Linked DNA regions of Rattus norvegicus. The protein of the gene in region 2 purifies or fractionates together with the protein of the main gene of each other region. This does not show direct contact. Links are inferred from orthologs where the notes say so. Each region holds a gene or a part of one and is shown on either strand. Other genes may lie near its edges. The genes, in order: Tes and Ctnna1.

The links.
Region 1: the proteins of Ctnna1 (region 2) and Tes purify together in Homo sapiens (affinity purification with mass spectrometry; 3 studies listed by BioGRID and IntAct, with this or other methods). This does not show direct contact. The link is inferred for Rattus norvegicus from reciprocal best matches to the Homo sapiens genes CTNNA1 and TES.

The regions. Positions count from the first base shown.
Region 1 is NC_086022.1:46,365,546-46,369,371, reverse strand, and holds part of Tes (testin), read right to left. Parts: intron 815-3,826; coding exon 626-814; 3' UTR 1-625. UniProt on the Homo sapiens protein: Scaffold protein that may play a role in cell adhesion, cell spreading and in the reorganization of the actin cytoskeleton. Plays a role in the regulation of cell proliferation. May act as a tumor suppressor. Inhibits tumor cell growth.
Region 2 is NC_086036.1:27,057,874-27,061,699, forward strand, and holds part of Ctnna1 (catenin alpha-1), read left to right. Parts: intron 1-2,956; coding exon 2,957-3,232; intron 3,233-3,826. UniProt on the Homo sapiens protein: Associates with the cytoplasmic domain of a variety of cadherins. The association of catenins to cadherins produces a complex which is linked to the actin filament network, and which seems to be of primary importance for cadherins cell-adhesion properties.

The DNA.
Region 1 (3,826 bases), on a different chromosome or scaffold from region 2:
GCCACAGATGGAGGTCGCTAGATGACAAAAGAGGATACTGAGAGGTAAAGTAACCAGAGAGAGATGCAGGAGGGAGAGGCCCCTCTGCCTCCATGGGGGATGCAAAGGCTTAGGCACTGGAACACCCAACGTGGACCACACTGCCTGCCACAAGGAACTCCTCACTGAGCTGACGTCACCATCATCAAACCGCTCGACAGGCGGTTGTAACTTCCTTTACATTTCCCATGGGGGACAAGCATGGAAGTTAAAATGTTCATCTCTCCCAGGACACTAATTTTAAGTGATTTTATATATATATATATATATAATATATCTAGCACTAGGAGTATGCGGTTATAAGGATTGATTAAATTCAAGCTTCCAACTCAAATATTTAATGTGCAGAAATAAAAGCTATAATTCTTTACTGTTTTTTTTAAATCATGCGCTTAAAGCAGTCATTTAAAAATAAGACAGACAAAATTCATAATGGTTAAAAAGAGAAAAATATTGGACAAAATCTTCCGGTTCGTTATGTAGCTTTTTTTTTTCCTTTTATTTTTTATTTTTTTTTTAAACTGCAGTTTATCATGAAATGCAGGCCACTGTAGACAGCTATGGCTCAATACTGCTTGGTGTTCACTCAGGACATCATCTTCTTACACTCCACAGAACAGAAAACCATCCCTTCCACAGGCATGAACTTCTGCCCGATCAGGCACTTGCTGCAGCAGGAGCAGAGGAAGCACTCCGTGGACGCGTGCCAGCTGAAGTTATTGTACGTCACTCGCTGCACTTCCGGGTCGATGGCATTGTGGCACCCTTGACACACCTGCTCGGGGATGAATGGAGAAGAGGGTTAGAGACAGCGACATCTTTGTGAGACACTGTGCCGACGGGGCCCTGTATGCTGAGTGTGCCGAGAAATGGCAGGTGACGGACAGGGTGGGAGTGCGGTCCGTAGATGTCCCTCAGGGTGTAAATAGGAAGTTATGATGGCAAATCCCAAAGCACCGCACTTGTTTCCAGTCAAATTTTAGTAGATTTCACCGAAACAATTAGAAGGAATCTCTAAGACTGTTTTCCCGCACTCATTAACGCTCTGAAGTGGTAACATCACTAGGATGTGTCATGCCTAGGACACTGACACAGGTGACTGTTAACACCCACCAATTTCAAGAGAGTAGTAAACTAAAGTCATGCTCAAAATAATTAAGGATTTGAATAAAAGTACAGACAGTATTTGAAAACGAATGAGGGGTTCACACCATAAATATAACGTGTAGTTAATCAGCTTCTGTTCTGTCCTAAGTTTAGTCATCGTTTATCTGTGATCTATGCCATGAACTTTAATACCTCCCTTCCCTGCAGCACCCTTTGTTTTGTTTTGTCTGGGAGAAGGTATTCGGCCGGACCTAACTTCGTGATACTTCTCCTCCCTCCGCCTCCCGAGGGCTGTGATACCGGGTGATTTAGGTAGTGCTGTGCAGGAAACCCAGGACACCATGCACATTGTGTCAGGACAGTACTGACGGAGGTGGTATATTCCTAGCCCACCATTCAGTATCCTGGGTATGTTATACTCCAATATACTAATGAGGTAAACATACGCGTAATATTCTTAACTGATGATACACATGAAGAGAACGAGAAGCAGCCATTAATATTACAACAGAAAACCACCTCACGGAAAGCTTCAACGCAGGAGAGTCATTTGCATTGTTTATATATGACCTGAATAAAATGAGAAACATCTAAGATCTTGGTTTTACAACAGCTGAGGGAATACCATGTGGCACTGATCAACCTTAAGTACCACTTGTCTCTTGGTTGGGGATTACTGCAGTGGGACGGCCATTGTTGGACAATGAGGTGACCTGCATCACACAGCCACTGCAGACCTGAAATATACTTTTTGTATATTTTACAGCTACGTACCTTCTTATTGTAGAGACTCTATCTACAGGTCTAACAACTACCTCCTGGCTGGGAAACAGACATTCTTTGCATAATGCAGATAGGTGTCCTGAATACAAATAATATTCAATGTGGAAGCTCTAAGTTCCCCCTGAATCTGCAGCCGCATCATGCAAATGGTTGCTTTTGCATGGAATTTCTGTAGTGCGATAGCTCACGTAGAATGTTCTGGTTTTCTGTACTTCGTATTAGTCTTCCGACACTTTAGAACTGTGTGACAGAGGACCCCTTTGCTTTCCTTTTTTACTTTCTGTTTTGTAACATTATTTGTGGATCATTTTATTATTAGATGAAACATGGCCTTTTCATTTTTAGTATAAGAAAGAAGACAAACCAGTTATTCAATTGCACGTGAAATTGAGGGGAGTCTTTAGGTCAGAAAGAATCACACGGATACACAAATGGCATGGTGTTGCATTTAGGGTTTATGGTTCCATACAGTTTAGCTTCACAACTGCAGTGGGTCACCATTCGTCTAGGAATCTTACATATGACTCCAGCTAACACCAGCAGATCCTTGCTTATCCACAAAGCTCAAAGCTACATGCCACAGAGGGCCTGCCTGGGGACTATACCTTTCATCGCAATGTGCCTGGCAGTGCACTGCCTGTGAAATAGTCCTCACACAGCTCAAAGAGCCAGTTCCTTCCATCCCTCCTGCTTTCTTTTATTTGAACACAGGATGTGAGGTAGATAATGCTGTGTCGTCATGGGCTCTCTGGCTGGAGGACCCTGAGAGCCTTACAGATGCGAATCCTGGGTGGCCAGTGGGAGTCTGGTGTGCACATGGGGACAAACTGGGTTTCTTCCCATCTCACTCCTCCTTCCGGGTGATTTTTACCTCATAAATGCCCTGATTAGATTGAGGACATTTCTCCGGGTCTAAACATGTTTTCTCTTTCACTTCTTTTATATATATCAAAATCTTTGCACAGATTAACACAGTGAATTAAATAATGTGCAGCCCATTGTTTCGGCACTGGTGAGATAAAGACAGCTCGTTTTAATATTAGGCAGTGCGTCAAGACGGAAGACGGGCACACAGCTAAGCTTATTTCTCTGTAGACGTACTGGACTCTTAGAACTATACACAGGTACTGTTTTCCCCCTCTCCTAGGAGTTTCCCCTATGCGATAGCTTAGGGAACTTTAAACTAAGAAAACGCTGGAGCCCATCCTTCTGATATTATCAGCCAGGAAGGCTTATAAGCTGACTATATATGGTCATCTTTTCACCGTGTATCTACGTTACCATCTCTTGGCCAGCATGCAGCAGCAGGCGCTCTGTGGAACACAATGGATGTCATAAAAATATGCTCTCACATTAAGCACCTGAATGTCCCACACGGCAACCTAAATATACAGGCCAATTTCCTCTGTATTCGATCAGTTCCACAAATGTTTGGAAACAGTCACTCAGCAATCTCTAGATAGCAAGTCAAGGGCCTCATGGGTGGATTAGCAGCATGTAGTGAAACCATTTTTTTTAAAAGATCTATTTATTTTAGTATTTACATGTATGGGTGTTTTGCCTGCATACATGGCCATGTAACATGTGTGTCCCTGGTGCCTGAAGAGGCCAAAAGACCCCGTAGGAATGGAGGTACGGATGACTGTGAGCTGCCACGTAGGTGCTTAGAATAGAACCCAGGCCCCCCGGAAGTGCAACAAGCTCTCTTAACTGATGAGCCAATGGTAAGGCCCCCGGAAACCACTTTAAATGGAATCTGATCTGCGGTGATAAGAATAAATCCATTCCTATTAAGTAATGTTTCTAAGTTAAAACATTATTGCCAAGCATCATATATAATCTATATGGCAAATGCCCAGACAGGACGAGCCATCTTGGGTAGTCAGTGCATTTAGGG
Region 2 (3,826 bases):
GTAATTCTGTCTGAATTTTAATTCTCCGTGCCCCCGAGTTCATTAGGAATTCCTTGCACATCAGCACTTCTCAACCTGTGCATTGTGATACCAAAGATATTTATACCATCCACGCAGCACTGAGAAGGCCCTCTCATTGTATTGGAAACAGGCAAAGGGCATCCTCCCTCAAGACCACTCAGGACTCTTCCTTACCTTACAAAGCCACTAATGTCACCATGGGGTTACACTTCTCGTAATGTTAAGAGGGAAATGAGAAGAAACTTTCACTTGGATTTCCAGTGTTCTTAGTAGAGTTAGATTACTCGGAGCTTAGCTTTTTAATTTTAGTCACCAGTGCATGGAATGATACGTCAGATTTATGAAAATTAGTTTTTCCTCTCTATGTATATTTTCTGTTAGTCCTTAGCTTGACTATGATAGATAGGTGGAGTCAATCCAAAACAAAAGTCTCTTAAGTAATTTGCTATGTTGCTTTATAGCTCACTTTTCACCAAAATTTAGATTATTAATCAGTATCATATAGCTTGAAAGGAATGCCTTTTCATTAATTTATTATTACAATACCAGTACCCAATACAAACGTGGCTCTAAAGAGGGGGTGGCATTTATCCTTAGCACCTAGGATAAATGAGACTTATTTGTTATTCTCATCATAGAAGCTTGGCAAGTGAGAGTTTGTTCAGAAAATGCTAACATAGAAAATATTTTCCAGTTACTTGAACCTCATGACTAGCCACATTGCTTGTTGTACTTGATTCTTGAAATGATCCCTAACTCTCTAAAGCCAGGATAGATGGCTCTGAGTACTTAGCCTAATGTAGTCTTTAGAAAAGTAGAAGTTTATTGTACTAGACTCTAGACTACCCAGTGACCTAGGAAAATTGACTACTCACTCGGTACCTGTTAACTTTAGGTGATTATGAATATCTGTGGCAGCCTTTGCTGGAGACTGGGCTGATGTATCTTTTGAGTGTTTAGCAACAATGAGGCTTATTGTAGAACATTTTATAGAACAAGGCATAGTATAAATACTTAAAGGCAGATATGGTCATAGGAGGCTTAAGGGGCCTTGCCATGGTGATAAAGGCAAATAATTAGAAAATGCCCACAAAATATGTGTGCCCCATATTTAAGCTTAATGTTAGCCACAGCCCCTTGTTCCAACTTAAGTTTGAAATTGCTCACACATCCAATCTACAGGGTCCCGTTTCTGAATATGTAGCCTAACATAGCATGCTACAGGGCATTTGGTGTGTTGTAAGCTATGACCTGCAAATTCAGGTGCTAAATGAGAAAAGAATTCTAGGTAGAAAAGCAGCTGTCTTTGTACAAGGTTTGAATAAAGATGTAAACTCCCAAATTATATACTGAGATTACGTTTCAGAAGAAAGAAATGGGTCAGTGTTTTAATGTTTTATTAAGAAGTCATCTAGGGGGCTGGAGAGATGGCTCAGCAGGTAAGAATACTGGCTGCTCTTGCATATGACCCGGGTTCAATTCCCAGCACTCAGACTGAAAATTGTCTATAACTCTAGTTACAGGGGATCTGACACCTCACACTAATGGACATAAGATAAAAATTAAATTATATATGTGTATGTGTGTATATATGTATGTATGTGTATATTTCTTGTATAAAAGTAGTCATCGAGAACTGGAGAGATGGCTCATTGGTTAAGAGCACTTCCTGAGGTCCTGAGTTCAATTCCCAGCAACCACATGGTGGCTCACAACCATCTATAATGGGATCCAATGCCCTCTTCTGGTGTTTCTGAAGACAACTACAGTGTACTCATATAAATAAAAATAAATAAATCTTTTTAAAAAAGTCATTAAATAATTAACTCAGACTTTTTGAATAACTGACTTTTCTACATTACTTAATTTTTTCATAGTTTATACATGTAATACTAATCTTAAAAAGATTTATATCTGTATTCTAATATTCTGTTAGTGATATTAACAGTGGAATTTTATGTTTTCATGTAAAGGACTGTTGGAGCAGACTTTGAGTGTAGGGTAATTCCTCCGCTCTAATAGTGATCCACATTTATCAAAGACTCCTGTGTCTTTTAAGTTTCAGTAATGAGGACTAGATGCTACCAGTGTTTCCTTTGTCTTTTGTGTACTAATACGTAACCCATCCATCCCTCTTAGTGTTCTAGATGTCACTAGTTACAATGACATTAGCAGTCTCATATTCTTATAATTATGGGGTAGAAGAAATGATAAAGGATCTTTCACTTGAGACCACAGCTCAGAATTTTATAATCATAAATTGCAATTATGGAGCACATGTTCCTCCATTTAGTGACTTAATGGCCAGTAAACTGGTGGCTCTTACTTTGTGAGAAGAGCATAGTTTTGTAATCTAGAATGGTCTTTGGGGTACGAAAATGGGGAGGAAGTGTTGTATACTTAGGAGAATAGCTGATCATATACTTAACCTAGTTGGTTTGCAAAGTTCATACACACGTAGTATTGTGTTACCAATTTCATAAAATTCTTGTAATGGACTAAGATAACTTAAAGTCTCATGTTTTCCACTTAAATATGTCTATGTGGACTTTCTCTTTGGTTGGAATTCTAGTTATATGGACCTGATCAAGATGTTAAGCAGTTTTACATTGTAACATTTATTTTATGCCTTATTTAGTGTTAGGTGCTCTGTATGTGTTATCTCATTTTATTCCTCAAAATGCTAAAAGAGCTATAATATTGTTTCTGTTTTGAAAAAGGAGAAACTGAACACGAAAGTTTACAGTGAGGATACAGTAGATGGCCAGGAAAAAGTAAGCTAGGAGATTCAAGTCAAGGCTCATGCCTGCAGAGCTGTCCTTACGTACTTAGCCACGTAACCTCCGTTGTGATCACCTTTCAGCCTACATTAATGCAGATGTGTCTTGATATGAATAGAAACCTTGTAAAGACCCTTTCGATTATTTTATTTCAGGAACTGAAAGATGTGGGCCATCGTGATCAAATGGCTGCAGCTAGAGGAATCCTGCAGAAAAATGTTCCCATCCTCTACACTGCATCCCAGGCATGCCTGCAGCACCCCGATGTAGCAGCCTACAAGGCCAACCGGGACTTGATATACAAGCAGCTGCAGCAGGCCGTCACGGGGATCTCTAATGCTGCCCAGGCTACTGCATCAGATGACGCCTCCCAGCAGCAGGGTGGCGGCGGCGGCGGGGGAGAGCTGGCGTATGCTCTCAACAACTTTGATGTAAGTAATATTTGGGAGGAAGGTTTGGGCTCTTCACCAACTGCCAAAAGATAACTGGTTCCTGGGGAAATATGATCAAGACTGTGATGAAAGCCCATTTTCCAATTAAATTTGTTCTCTAAGTGGAAAGAAATTGTTATGAGTCATAAGTTTACTTTATTGTAACTTGGCTTAAAGCATTTTTTCCCCTCTCTCCTTGTGTGGCTAAACTTTAGGATTCTTCTATGCGATTTGTGTTTCCTTGCCTAGTATTTTTTTCCTTTTAATATGGTTCTTCTTGAGGCTATGAGTCTGGCTCATTCCAGCTAGGATTTTACCATCTGACAAATGTGGACCTGTGAGAGGTACAGAAGCAAAGTGAGTAGGCTTTGTCTCTGGGGAACTCATGGTCTAGTGAGAGATGTAGGTAAATCATACTGCTGTCATCTTAATCTCACCTGCCTGCCTAGGTAGATTTCTGCTTTTGTGATTTCCTTTGAGCCATGAGCACAGAAGTTTAACCACATTGAAATAGATTTGAAATTAGTTTTAATTTTCTTTAGCATAATGCTTTCATAACGGTGCCCTAGATCTCTCCTGTGTATATGATGTGTA